Stegostoma tigrinum: one gene and its partner. The protein of the gene in region 2 purifies or fractionates together with the protein of the main gene of each other region. This does not show direct contact. Links are inferred from orthologs where the notes say so. Each region holds a gene or a part of one and is shown on either strand. Other genes may lie near its edges.

Region 1 (7,804 bases), on a different chromosome or scaffold from region 2:
AGTTGGCTGTAGTATTGAAAACTTGTAAATTTCCGATTAAATAAGTTGAATGATTTCAGTTGTTGTACTTCCAAAAAAAAATCTACTATTGCTTCACTATTCATCGTGATTTGGCAAAAACATTTTGCTTAGTGAATGTTGTTGTTCAGGAAAAAAACATCTGCCTTAAAGTGATAATTCTAAACTTGTGCTACTATCATATCACTCATACCGAAGGAATATTGGTGCTTTTACAATCTGCTTTATGAAGTAAAATCTGAACATGGAGAAAGCAGCAAGTAAATAGCAAATTTATTTTTCCAAGTGCAGTTCATTTTATTCTAAGTCTTCACTTCTTATGCCTCAGAGGTGGGGCTCATACTGGACATAGGTGGCAGAGGCAGGAGGCCGCAACTGGTTAAACCGTATGTGACGTAGTAATTGATAGGGCCATCACATCACAGCTGATATCCACAAACATGAACAAGAGTGGGAACAGAAGTTGATTTTTCCCTTATTTAGCTCCTAAGTACAGGCACCGATTGAGTGCTACCAAAATGAGATTGACAAATTCAACATGGATCATGGATGCAAATGAAATTATTTCTAATTTGAATGGTGTAGTGCAATAACGCCGTTTGCAGCATTTATTACCACAGGGCCACTGCTGCTGTAAGTCCATTCAACCAACACAAGAACAAAGGGTTTTATTAACACTTTAACCAAATGACATTGTCTACGATCACAGAAGAACATGATTGGCCCAGCATATGCCCCTGGTCTACCCCAGGGTAGAAAGGCTCACATCTAACCAAATGCTAGGAGATAACGGAGACAGTGGCAAATTGCCGTTAATTGCCGGGTTCATGCAGATAAAGCCAGGACGAGCAACAACTGGCGTTGGGAAACCGTGTGGAGATCAGATCGAATATAATAAAAAAAAATAAAAATTAGCACTTGAGGACTAAAACTGAATGCATTCTTTCCTCTGCAGAGTGTACAAAACCATGTGTGGAAAATTCCATTCGCAGGCTTGCAGAATGCTACATTCTGACAGAGCTCAAGAAAAGCAACACCAGTTTTCTCCACTTTGTTGAGACAAGTTCTCAGATTCTAATAATTGGTACCTCGCATACGGTTAAATAGTGGAAACTGTCTAGTAAAATACAGTTATTGCTCACCCCTGTTCTACCGAGAAGTAGCAGACCAACTCCTGAAAATGCTCGTGTCTTAGGGTGAGGAGAGGCAGTAAGAGAGTTGGAGAGGGTGTGGGAGGAAGAATACGTGCGGTGGTGGGGAAAAGGGCGAGAGAGAGAGAGAGAGAGAGAGAGAGAGAGAGAGAGAGAGAGAGAGAGGGCAAGGGCGAGAGAGGGAAAGGGAGGGAGAGAGAGAAAGAAAGGGAGAGAGAGAGAGCACGAGAGAGAGAAAGGGAGGGGGAGAGCGAGAGAAAGAGAGCGAGAGAAAGAGAGAGAGAGAAAGAGAGAGAGAGAAAGAGAGAGAGAGAGAGAAAGAGAGAGAGAGAGAGAAAGAGAGAGAGAGAGAGAAAGAGAGAGAGAGAGAAAGAGAGAGAGAGAAAGAGACAGAGAGAAAGAGACAGAGAGAAAGAGACAGAGAGAAAGAGACAGAGAGACAGAGAGAGAGAGACAGAGAGAGAGACAGAGAGAGAGAGAGACAGAGAGAGAGAGACAGAGAGAGAGAGACAGAGAGAGAGAGACAGAGAGAGAGAGACAGAGAGAGAGAGAAACAAACGCGCAGGAATGGTGTTTCTATGGCATTTCTGTTCATCAAGTAGCAAGTGAAGGGTTGGGGTGACCTGTCAAAGTCAGCTAGATGAATTGCCAGAGCACTTCTGAGCTGCAGCAGAACGTACTGAAGCTAGAAAAGGTGAATAGCGTGCAGTGACAGAGCAAGGGCAGAGGTTGTTTGACATTAAAGTGTGTCATACAGCATATGTTACGGATCACAATACTGCAGATTAATAAAACAGGGAGGAGAATACTCTGTTATACAAAACATAAAGAAAGGGAATCCAGCATCCATGAAGCAATGTCATATGACAGGTCCGGGGAGACAAGAATTAGGCTTTACAACAGGGGTATAGTGCAATCTGTGACAGAGTGAGAAAGGATTCAGAGCGCCTAAAGCCACATTGCCAAGTGAAATAAAGAACGTGGTAGACATCAACATTATCGCATAAAATGAAAGAAAAGGTGGTGTGTACAAAAATAATTGCGACGGTCTGAAGAAAAATAAGCCACAGTACAATGGTGGATATAGTGATTTCAGAGGATAACATACTCCATATCCTTATAGTCATCTCTTCAAATACAAGTTAAGAATTGTCATTCACTTCTGTTTTTATACTGGAAGACTAAGAAAAAAAGGGACACACATTCTGGACAGATTTACAGTCTGAATACACTGAGCTCTTTCTGACTTAAGCATGATGGACACCAGTATGTGTACAGACAGTACCTGGGCAAGTCCACTATTAAGCTATGAGATTTCTTTTAACCTCCGTACTGTTTTTCAAATTTTTGTTCAGTAACATAAGAACCACCTAATATAAGTGCACACATATACTAGAGCTCAGGGAGACTAATAGTTGCCAAATCTGTTCTTCATTCAGGTTGCTCCACCTGCTTCAACCAGTTCCATTTTTTTAAATTAGCATAACACAGGAATCCAGTTTGCAGCATGGGGAATGCTTCTAGTCAAGAAATACTTACACTTGAACGTATAATCTGCTTGTTTTAGAGGCATGTTCACTCTCACTTTCCATATCATCTCCTCCCTGGTCCCCACTGAATTTCCTCTTGTTGGGGCTGATGGGTGGAGGTCCTGTGCGGTGGTTGGTGAGTGCAGAGGACACTGGGATTGACTGCATCCTACCGTCACTCCGGAGTGCAGCTTCGCCTACGGATCAAATGTTTAAAAAGTTAAACGCCTTGAACACTGTCCTTTCTACAGCAAGTTGCAAGTACAACCTAGCTCCGCAAAGAGTTAAATATGCTTGCGTATTAAAGACTTCAAAAATGTACACGACATGTCAATGAACATTTCACTAGTTTCACACTAAAAATGTACCACAAATGGATGCAAACACTAGAATTTGCATAAAATTTGCTGATTGCTTTACTGCAATGAGAAATATAACTCAGTATTGCTGTGGGAAATGTTGTTTTTCTTTCCGCACCGTAAGGGCTGTGGCAGAGGAAAAAGCAGCTTGCCAAACTAAACTTTATGAGATTATTGGACACTGTTAATGCTCGACAGTATATATACATAGGCATAAAACTGAACTCCAAACAGACGCTCACACCCTGCCTACATGGGAAAAATAAGTGCATATACCCAAGTCTGCCACAAGGCCCACACCTCTTCCTCAAAGTACAAAAAAAACAGAAAAAAAGAGACGAGCTGAACATTCAAGAGATTTATTGTTGATAGTTTTCCCCATTGCATTCAGTGAAGGGAAACCACAGTGCTGTTCACCAAACAAATGTCCTATTTTACTGGCTGGGTTGTCTCCTCCAGTCTAACCACACTCCATGGCAACCAAGATGACATCATAACTTTGGCAAGGAATACTCTGATAAATCTAGACTTTTCTGAAAAAAAGTTCAGCAGCAGTTTGAATACATTTAATTTAGTTTTTGTCTCTCGAACCAGATACTACACATTCCACATGCAGGATATTCATGTGACTTTTTACAAGTCATAGCCTCATTATCAGACAGCATTTTGATGCATTTCCAATTTTTCCTTCCTGACTGCTTATTCATTTGAGGCAGCAAAATTCAATTACATCTATTCCCTTGCCCAGCTGAACAGCTATGTATAGAATTTCCACCCCTCCTCCCCATGGAATTTTAACCTAATGTTTGCCAAGTTACTTTTGCTCCCCAGGAAGGATCCAACAGATGTGAAAAAGCTACAAAAATAAAAATGTGCCAGACAGAGAATTAAATGAACATGAAATAGGACTTACTGAAACTGTGTGTAACATCTCTCAATTCATTCTGATTAGAATAACAGAGGTTTATTCACATGAAATTAGATGTTCATGAGAATTATGATTAGTCCCAAAAAAAGGAAGTAAAAATTGATCAAGGCCCAAAAGGAGGATAAAATCTAGGCAATGGAATTTACAAAATGAGAATAAATTGCTTTTGCCTTAGTAATATTCAATAAATCAGGAGAGGTATCCAAAATGTAGTCTTCTTGAGCATCACTGCACCTGGAAGGGTGGCTACCAGTTTCTCCATTAACAGTCAAACATTAGAAATCTAAAATGTTTTGACTCTCAATTTATCCAACTAACAAAACAAATCAACATAACAAAGACCCTCTGATGAAGGGTCTAGGCCCGAAACGTCAGCTTTTGTGCTCCTGAGATGCTGCTGGGCCTGCTGTGTTCATCCAGCTCCACACTTTGTTATCTTGGATTCTCCAGCATCTGCAGTTCCCATTATCTCTGAAAGCAACATCAACTTTTTTTTAAAATCAATCACTCTAGCCTACATGATTAAAACAAAATAAAGAAGCACAATCCAGACTTCAACAACACACTTGCCACACGTGGTACTGGGGCTACCGGTCAACATCACTGGATCAGAAGATCGACAGTTGTGCTTGCAAATAAAAACATGCAGCATTAAGTTGATTTGATACTAGATCCACTGTGACCATTCAAAGCAAGATGCACATCTCCAAACGCAAAGGATTTTTTAAAAGCCCTCCACAACAGTTTTGTGCCCATTAAGCTTTTTTCTATTACCACATTATTTTGTGCATTATATTAATTCATAACATTTTTATCCAAATTCCACTGTTAATAAAAGGCTGCAGTTTGCACATCCCTATTTGCAGCTAATATTTCTCCTTTGTTCAGCCAGGAAAACAAAAAAAAATGGCTGGGTAGGTGGGGCACAGAAGGAACTGTCAGTGCTCTCACTCAGTTGCACGTGATTTAATCCGGGTCAATCACAATTACTGGAATGGAAAATGTAGCTGCAAAGTGTACCAGATGTCCGAGAGTAGTATGTCCAAGGATCTGACCAGAAGAAATGTATGCACAAGACTGATACATAGCATAAATGTAAATCTGTACCCCATATTAACTGAAGATATGCACAGGGCTTACAGAAAAACTTGGCTCAGGCCTAAATGTACCTGCAACTGCAAAATTTTATATCCTGACCCATTCTCCCATGTGGAAACCACTCACCAATCATTGTGCCTGTTACAAAGTGGATCTCTGAATGGTATTCCTTTTAAAATAGAAAACCAATTAAAAAGGAATAACGATTAAAATGATCATTTAACTAGTGGAGTTAAAACAGACAAATTTATTTGACAAAGTATACATTTGGGCGGCACGGTGGCTCAGTGGTTAGCAAGGCACCAGGGACCCGGGTTCGATTCCAGCCTGAGGCGGCTGTCTGTGTGGAGTTGCACATTCTCCCAGTGTCTGCGTGGATTTCCCATGCTAAATTGCCCGTAGTATTCAGGGGTGTGTGGGTTATAGGGGGATCGATCTGGGTGGGATATATGAAGGGGCAGTGTGGACTTGTTGGGCCAAAGGGCCTGTTTTCACGCTGTAGGGAATCTAATCTAATCTAAATTAGAAGTCCAAGCTCAGTTAGAATTGTTGTATATTCAAAAGCAAATACAAGATGCCTTTGTTGAAGGGCTGAATTTGTTCATAAAACCAAACTAAAAATAGAAATCTTCAAAAATAATGGGAAATTCATTTCAACTGAGAATTATTCATACACAAATAATGTAAACATCATTAACATTTTGGATTCTCTCTCACATACACCAGTTAGATTTGCTTTCATTATGGCCATTCTAGCGCTGCTTACTGGTCAATCTTAGGTTGACCATCTGGCTACTTCAATCTACTTGCCTCAATTATGGAAACAAGGCTGCTGAACTTAAGTTTAATCACATTCCCAATCAGTTGTTTGATGAGAAAGCACACTTCAATTTTGTATCCAGGTTTAGATGCCAAACAACAGTGTTGTATCTGCAGGCCAAGCAGCAGAGGAGCAGGAAGGCTGATGTTTCGGGCCTAGACCTTTCTTCCTTTTTTTGAAGAAGGGTCTAGGCCCGAAACATCAGCCTTCCTGCTCCTCTGAGGCTGCTTGGCCTGCTGTGTTCATTCAACTCTACACCTTGTTATCTCAGATTCTCCAGCATCTGCAGTTCCTGCTATCTCCGAGTGTAATATCTGCATATGAGAAATTGTTCTCATGCAAAACAGATGGAAATTCCACAGACTTATGCATGAGCAATTTTTCTGTCTTAATTTTAGCTGTACTTTAACAAAGCCGACTGTTGTTTCCACTATTCGTCTTTTCATTTCTACCTTGCCTCCATTTAAATCTGTTCCAGTTTTTTTGGAACTGAAAGAGTATTCAGATCACTGACGATAGCACTGAAAATGACCTCTCCTTTTATCCCTTTGCAGAGAGATGAAGCAGTGAACATAAAGATGTCAAGCCAGTTTGCACAAAGCTGCAGATCAGGTTTTACAAGGCTGGATCACTCTGGTTTAAGTGGACTTTGCTTCCCGCCAAAATAGTGTGCAGGAGAAAGAAAGGAAAGAAGTAATGCTCTAAGTATTACCAGACCTGATATGGCTTATACAAAAATGATGTTTTTTGTAACATAACTAAATATTAAAAACCACTAAGTTTAAAAAACTCCTGCCTTTATATTAGGTGTTGTTCACAACCCCTCAGGACAATCTAACATTCTTTATATCTCATGAAGTAGTTTTGAAGTGTAGTCACTGTTACAAAGTGGAAACTATGGGGAGTCAATTTGTGCAAAAGGTTCCATTGACCATAAAATTAAATAGATCATATAACCTATTTTAGGTGATGGTAAATATTGGTCAGATAGTCAGACGACACTGATTTTATCTGTATACTTTACACATCAACCCTATAGACATTAATATAACTTGGGAAATGTCTAATTTTCAGTCAGATTGATGAGACGAACAAGTGACCTGGACTGATATCAGAGATAATGGGAACTGCAGATGCTGGAGAATCTGAGATAGGCCCGAAATGTCAGCTTTTGTGCTCCTAAGATGCTGCTTGGCCTGCTGTGTTCATCCAGCTTCACACTTTGTTATCTCTTGACCTGGATTGATACTTCAGATTCAAACCCAAAGCTCCAATTCAGAACTGACATTTGAAAATAACTGCCATCAACACAAACCAAAAGGCGGCTCCTGGTCCATCAGAAGAAAGGAAACTGCTCAATTCTTACAATGTGAAACTCAACTGTCAACTCAGTTTGAGATAACAAGGTGTAGAGCTGGATGAACACAGCAGGCCAAGTAGCATCAGAGGAGCAGGAAAGCTGATGTTTCGGGCCTGGACCAGTCTTCAGAAAACTCAGTTTGATCTTTTCCCAAAATAAAGTGTCCTTGAATTTTCTCAGCAAAAATCCAAACTAATACCATATGACCAGGTAGAACAGTTAAATGTTGATCAAGTATTTGGGAGCCCGTTTAGTAACTGTGAACAACTTTTCAATAGAAGTTGGAAGTGATAATGGGCTATATATCATGCTATTTGCATCTCAAAAGAATGTCACATTTTCTGACTATAGCATTTCAGAACGTGTGTGAGAAAAAAGGCAATTTTGATCTCCAAGAGAAAATTGTTTACTGAATTATATTATGTACCAGGCTTCCAGTCACAGATGTTTCTCCATATTTTTGGCTATCCTTCATCTTAAAAGGGAGTCTTTCTCACGCCTTTCCAGCAACTCTGAAATACTCAGTACATTTTCAGTTGCC
Region 2 (7,673 bases):
GAAGTGCATACATTTACAAAAACACACCAGCAGCGTTAATTGCTAAGTGCTATGCTCTGTACCTAGCCAACACACTGCCATAAGTGAAAACAGTATTAAGCAATAATATCTGATATTCTTTAAACAAAACCAGGTTCATCCTTCAAATGAAGAAGAGTACATACCTTGTTTCAAAATATAGAAACATACGATGGAAATGAAAAATGTCTATACATAAGACTAACTTTCTTTTAGTTCTTATTCACATTTTACTTCAATTACTGAAGTTAAGAAATTATGGGTCTCTTTCTTTTTTGACCTTAACGTCCCCAGCTAAGATTGTAGCAATCTCTCCTTGCATGAATGCCCAAGGGACATTCGAACCTACTAAAGGGCATTTTTCTCCACTGGGGCAATAAACTTCTCCATTTGCCCCCTGCGCCTTAATGCTTTCCCGAGAACATGGGAAACAGAATTTATGATTGGGCACTGATGGGCATTGCACAAAGTGAGTATCCTCCAAACGTTCATGACAAATGGTGCAGCACAGGGGCCCGTTGTTGGCCATTGGTGAGTCTGGAATGTTTGGGGGATGAACGGGGTCAATGCTGGGGTTGGGATGGTTGTTAGGTGGTGCAACGGACAGTGCAGCATCCCCGTTCCTGGACACCATGCGGCGCTGGCCACCACCCGAGGCAGGGGACACGGGGCTGTTGCTATTCCTCCGAGTGCTGGTACTCGTGGTTGAATGTACCGAATTGCTGCTGTCCTTTGGAGAGTGGGCATTTCCAAGGGTGTCGGCCACGGACATGAGGGCAGCCATGGGCGACTGTCCATTTTGGGCGCTGCATTCGGGAGGGGTGGTCCGGTTGGGTGGCAGAGCGGAACCCCCATGAGCCACACCACTTGAGCCAAAACTGCCTGATGCCGCCATAGTAAGCTTTAAGGCTTCATTTTGGTTGGACAGCCACTGCTGCTGCCGCTCTTCCAGCTTTACACTGCCTGTTTCCGAATCGGGTTCAGGAGACGCTTTGCGTTTGCGCATCCCAGTTCTCGAGCTGTTGGGCGGGGGCCGGGGTATATTACACAGGGCGGTGGGTAAAATGGGGCAATTGGCGTCTATATGGGGCTGCGGCAGCATATCGGCCCCCACCACCTCCTTAAAGAAACGCACCGACTCAGGCAGCAGGTCACCCAGCAAGCGCCAGTCTCCCGAGCCATGTTTCTTCTCATACTCTAAGTACTTGAAACCGGACGATAGGCCTCTGCTGAAATCCTTCATGCAGTCCTGGTACATCTGCTTGGCAACTCCCGAGGCGCTGGAGAAGACATTGGCCGAACCGCTCGGGTACTCAATAAAGATCTTCAGCTCGAAGTCCATGCCGGGCTTGGAGACGGCGTCGAAGGCGAATACCCGGCCCAAAAGAGAGTGATCCTTCTTAAAGCGCACATCGAAGGGATTGCAGTTGGATAGGGTGAGCAGCGTCTCCCGCACGATCTTGGGCTTGTTGACCCAGTCCTCAGAGCGGTTTCTCAAGCTCTCGCCCAGCTCAGCCAGAGTCTCGGCATTTCTCTGTTTCTCTTTGAGTTCCCTCTCTTGGTCACTGCTGGACACTGAGCCTGGCCGTTTGTTCACATCACTCAGGACTTGACTACTGACCGTCACCGATGTCCCGGCCAAGCTGCTGGAAGGAGACGGCCTGCTTAGCAGCCCGTGTGGACCCAGAGCTCCTGCGGACGGACCGTTTAAAGTGGTCTGCGGCAGCAAGTTGGGCGGCACTGTGACGGGGCCCGGGGGCACGATGTTATGATTTCTTCGTGATGAATTGGGACTCTGGCGGTTGAGTTCCGGCGGAATGTCCTCAGGTTTGGGGAATCCGTTGGGTCCACTCAGGCCATTGGGAAGCCTGCCAGCATGGGCGAGGCTCGGGTACTCGAATCGGGGTCTCTCGCTCAAAGAATAGCGATCGACAGGCGGCTGGGGCCCTTTGGACGAGCCGTCGACGTGGTTGAGCTGTTGAGCCGCCTCTTTGCTGCCACCCAAGGACTGCACTTTGACAGGAGGCGGCCCTGGCGAGCGGCCCTCCTGGAAACCGTGAGCCCGCTTCAGTTGGCGCGCCGTCTCGATGACAAACTCGATGCGATCGGCCCCTTCGTAGTTGACGCAGCCGCGACAGACGGGCTCAGTAAAATCCCAGATCATGGCCCACGGCATGCGAGGCAGATCGCAGAGATAACACGACTGTCTCCGGGACGAAGACACCTGTGCAGCGGACATGATGCGGAAGATGTTCAGATTTGATTGTTTTCTGGGTCTCTCCGCGGTGGCCCTTTCGTACGGTATTATGGCCAGGCCTAGGCTCCCTCGCTTTCTTTGCCTTTCTCCTGCTCTTCTGTCTGCTTTCTCCTCTCCTCCCGGCCCCGCCACTCAGCTTCTCCGAGCACCACGTGACGTCAGCCGCCGCTCTGCAGCCAATACGCAAGCGCAGCCTCACTCCCCACCCCCACCGTCTAAAGCATGTGGCTTGTCTCGGCTGACTACCCTTTATCAAAGTTTCAAAACTATACTTTATTCCTTAAAAAAAAACTTTATATGCATACGTAGTCACTAAAGCAGTTTGGTTCTTCGTATACTACTGTACAGAACCAAACACTGCGGATTTGACTCTATCCAGCAAACACACCAAAAGCATTTCTGAGGAATGTACAGTCCAGTCTCTCAGCCCCTGTCCCTGAGAGTAGCCGGATCATCGTGCACATGATTTACTCCAAAACACCTAGCAATTTCAGACAGATTACGGTTGTAACGGAATAGAAACTGGTTCCTGGCCCAAAAAATGTTTTAACTGTCCATTGTAACAATTCAGTTACCAGAATACACTGCGGGAATGTCTATTAGGATAGGTCCGTGATAATTCGAAATATTAACCACGGAAGTTATGCTCAAAAGCAAAATTAGTTACCAGTACAGCTGGTATATAAATGTAAAGTTCTAAATTTAAACTACAAAATTCCAACACACCAGTTACAGCTGAATAGAAATTAAATAACATTTACTTGACTAAACAATTAGCTTTTGAGTACTTCACCCAGTCGAACAGATCGAGAAACAAATTATGATAACAGGAATTCCTTTAACCGTCTTAAAAGTTCAACACTTGACAATAGAAAGTAATTACTTATTTAAGTATGCACTTTATACAGTATATTAAATCAGTCTAGGTTTTCCCCCGCCCCCCCCAGCTGCAGCTCTAGTCCCGCCCCATGACGTCAGGGCTTGTTCTAGTTCAGTTCCCTTCAGAATGTCGCAACTCCCTAGCGTTTTGCACCGAGTCACTCAATGAGCAGACATTTCATTCTCTGCTGCTAATTCTGGACTGAAGCAGCTCGATTGTTTTGTAGGCTCCCATTTTATTGGTAGGAATCTGCTCAATACCAAGTGCATGTACTTTTAAGGCTGACGCTATACTAATGCAAAGGGTCCGTTTTTAATACGACAATCTTAGCAATTTGAAGCATGATGGGAAAATTGTAAAATCGAGTCATCATAACGTCAGAAAAGTATAAAATAATTTCATAGGTTAGAACACCAGCTAAATATCTAGCAAATTATGCAACTTCCACCCACATATAACCAGCCTAATGCTAGTTTCCTGTTGTGCAATTTTGTGCGTGTAAACTTCAATCGAAAACGAAAAGCTCCCTCCCAATGAACGCTTCTATTTACTTTTCATGAAAGTAGTTACCCAATGGTGCGAGCCCCGAGGTGAGGGAGTTGCTGCTTGTTTTTCCAGTACAGTACGGTTTAATTATTAACATGGATGTGGGCCATCAACTTCGAAAGCTACGTCAGCACTATAAAATAAATAACTACTTGGTTACTGTTTAATTTAACTCGAACTTGTAATGGTTGTAGGTAATCTAAAAGAGAGCAGAAAAAAAAGTCAATTGGAAAAAATATTTTAAAACATATCTAAATTGTCCTTTAACGTAATGCATTTCCGTGAACACTGAAACGGATCCACATTTGCCCAACACATATCAGTTACTGAACTATAAGTTCATTTAACTTATTCATTTAAAATAATTCCGAAAGGAAAAATAATTTTGTCTTGCATTCTAAAGTCGAACTTAAATCTCACACTACACCCTTCCCCCACCTTGTATAAAAAGAAATGATCCGTGGCACACTCAGATCCCATTCCTGGGGGGAACTCAATGTTTTAATCAGGGTAAACACAACTTCACAAGAGTTTTTTTTAATGTAAGCAAGTGTCACCAGAAGCTGACAAAACGGAAATGTGTTTAAATATCAAAACTGCAGTATTTAAGCATCTTAGTAGTACAACTGGAATTCGGAACTTGAAAAGGATTGTTAAACAGTTTTTATTTCAAAAAAAGCTTCAAAACGTGCGACTACCTTACAGCTTTATATAATTTATTAACCCCTTTAAAAATAATGAGGTGAACGGTTTATTCCTCTGTTCCCGACCATGAAACAACATCAAGAAAAAATGGAAAATGCATTTCAAAGGATCTTGGCTCAACAGACTATTAAGCATTTTATCGACGCATGGTATCGTGCCCACCGATTTTAAAAAAACGCACTGCAAGTCACGACGCAGAATTGAAAAAATAAAACAGAATTATGACATTGAAGTCATTGTTCCATCTGAGCTTTTAGTGTGAGATAGTTAATGTAAATTTACTTAAGAACATTCTAACTCCCTCTCCGCTCACACCACGAGGGCAGAGGGCATCCACTGTTATTTTGTCTGAAATAACGATACCTTAGGCCTCGTTTAAATCGCATGGACTTATTTTTAGAAGTAGTTATTATTTTGAGACGCCCACTCTCAATTCCCCAAGATTGATCAAGCTCTGAATGCTAGTAAGGCTATAACGCTAGGTTATTTTTTCGTATCGCCCTTGCTATGCCACCTTGTTCAACACAGAATACTACGCGAAAGGGAATATGCGAGACCACGAAAAATACAACTGCGCAATCCAATTTTAGTAAACATTGGAAATGCCAAAAATAGTTATTAGTATTTTTTCTTTGCTATACTTTCTGTTCCAAAATAACATTCGCTTCTTTCAAGAGATTCAATAAGAATGTTCCTTTAAGAGCCCTAAATTATTGCTGTCTTCTGTTCTACTGTTTATTTGCACTGAAAATCGATGCTTCATTTAGGGATTAAAGAAATTCATCAGTCTTCATTTCCTATCAAGTGTTACAGATGATCATACTAACTGCTATGGGGAATGAGGGGAATGTCCAAGCCCTGGAAAAATAAATGCACACATGTCCGCCTATGTTAACCCCAACGAATTTTAACAGTTGTTTGTAGCTATAATAGGATTTTTAAAAATCATACAGTCAACAGGATTTTGGCAGACAGATTGAAAATCCCCTTCACAGCTGTAAATAATTAAACTCACAGATCAAAATAAAACATGTATAGTTCATCTCAAATTGGAAAGCTTGATGTAAGGATACCATGAAACACAAACATTTTGCTTCTGTTCCTTAATGTAAATACAAAAACGATTGGTGAATTTTAAAAACTTTCCTTTTTACTTTCAATAGGACACAAGGTGCAGGCACAATGTACATTAGGAGACTGTTTTACCTTGAGCAACAGTTTTCATATTCTTAATAATCGGTAATGGATATGTCCTCATTATGCAAAGAGCAAGGTCCTAATTTAAAGTAAACTTAAATAATCTGAACCTGTTTCTTAATCTGTAGCCAAAAATAGATTTATTCCAAAATTGGCAAATGATATGGTACTCAGCTGTGAATGTGAAACTATTTCCCTACTGTGTTCATCATGGCATATCTTTATTTAGTGAAACAGTTATCATACTTAACCAGTGAAAACGACCATTTTAGTTAAAGAACCAACAGTTTTTTTTAGTAGATTTACGATAGATTAACTTCTATTAAAGTTAAAAATTCTGCCTGGACTAAACTGGCATTACAGTATCTTTTACTTTAGGTTTTTAAGACAATTTGCATGTTAATTCTCAATTTTTAGAAGTGATTTTCATGAAGGTGTTCATCTCCACTTGGAGCTAGTGCTACTGATAATCAGCCATTATGATCCAAGCTGATGTTGATCCTAGACAAGTCAGATCCCAAAAAGAAATCTGGGCTTGATACATCAGATGTTTACATTTGCAGGCAGTTACTGTGGTAATTAGCCACTAACACAAATTCACACAAGACTGCAGATATCCTTTAACAATTAAACATTCGCGAATTACACAAAATCTAGAGGGCATAGGTTAAAGGTAAGAGGGGAAAGATTTAAAAGGAAGCAACTTTTTCACACAGAGGGTGGTGAGTGTATGAAATGAGCTGCCAGAGGAGGTGGTGAAGGGGGGTACAATTATACCATTTAAAAGTGAAATGGATGGTTATATAAATATAAAACATTTAAAGGGATATGGGTCAAATGCTGGCAAATGGGACTAGGTCAGATTGGGATGTCTAGTCAAATGGAGGAGTTGCACTGAAGGGTTTGTTTTACGTGCTGTATGAGTCGAAGCAATTTTTTGATGAATTTGTACTTCATTACTGCCAAGCATCTCTGTAGCACAATTTTCTTTTTTACATGTATATTCGACTTGTATTACTGTTTTAGATTTCTTTTTTACTTTGCCTTTCTTTAACATTTCTATCTTGATCCTATCTTGCCTACCCACTCTATTTTTCTTTATGTTTGTGATTTTAATTATAGCTTCAGTCCAACTATCACACCTGACTTTGCTGATATACACTTGTACCCCATCACCTCCAATTGAAATTTCTGATTCTCATATTTAAATTTTATGTCCTCATCATTTCCTACCAATATCACATCCTGCAGTTCTACAATTCTCTAATCTGCCTAGAAAAACAAATGTTTAAATCAAACGACCTCAAAGCAACTGCTCAGCAAATAACTAATTGATATAGAATTTGTAGTGTCATGAGACCACGAGGATTGCTGGTGGGCAAGGGAAAATAGATACTGCTTCAGTGAAGTTGATTTACCCGGTTGAGGTAGAATGAGGGGAGTGCTACTCTTTTATCTGGCTTGTGAAATTTCTATCATGGGAAATGTTTAAAGTTGACACTGAGCAAAGTAAATGGGTTTTCAAGTACAGGCAGAAATATTAAAACAAAAGTTGACTGGACCTTTAAAGTATTGTAGATTTCAAGAAAAGAACTGACATACCGTGGAAGTAATGATTTTTTTTCCTAAGTAGGAGACTTTGGTATTTCATTTCCCAAATTGAGAAATGAAATGCATCCTCACCATGTTTTTATTTGATTATGCAAAAATAATGCCTGAAACTGTAATGAAAGGTATATAATATGTAGGTTTTAAATAGATGCCGATGGTTGTGGGTTAGTTCTGTGAAGATTTTTGATTAAAAACAGGTCAGAATGTTATGTTAAACAGTGACTTGGTGCATCATCATCAAGAAAGCATGTGACTGTATTTAGGTGCCTGGGAAAACTTCCCCTCAGTGTTGATAGATAGAATGTTTATATATTACTGAGTTAACAATAAACCAAATGCCAGAAGATTCAAAGTATCAGTTCAGAAGAATTAGGAGTTCAATTTATAAGGGAGATCAGTTTTTCCTAGGATGAGAATAAAGAATTTAGTTCAGATGGACCAGTCATCATTGCAAAGGGT

What was found. Proteins that work in one complex are often made in the same cells at the same time.
Region 1: the proteins of irf2bpl (region 2) and vgll4b purify together in Homo sapiens (affinity purification with mass spectrometry; 3 studies listed by BioGRID and IntAct, counting the BioPlex papers as one, with this or other methods). This does not show direct contact. The link is inferred for Stegostoma tigrinum from reciprocal best matches to the Homo sapiens genes IRF2BPL and VGLL4.

The regions. Positions count from the first base shown.
Region 1 is NC_081364.1:24,110,932-24,118,735, forward strand, and holds the start of vgll4b (transcription cofactor vestigial-like protein 4b), read right to left. Parts: upstream 3,282-7,804; 5' UTR 3,273-3,281; coding exon 3,176-3,272; intron 2,896-3,175; coding exon 2,709-2,895; intron 1-2,708. UniProt on the Homo sapiens protein: May act as a specific coactivator for the mammalian TEFs.
Region 2 is NC_081363.1:50,436,022-50,443,694, reverse strand, and holds the start of irf2bpl (probable E3 ubiquitin-protein ligase IRF2BPL), read right to left. Parts: upstream 3,181-7,673; 5' UTR 2,258-3,180; coding exon 275-2,257; 3' UTR 1-274. UniProt on the Homo sapiens protein: Probable E3 ubiquitin protein ligase involved in the proteasome-mediated ubiquitin-dependent degradation of target proteins. Through the degradation of CTNNB1, functions downstream of FOXF2 to negatively regulate the Wnt signaling pathway.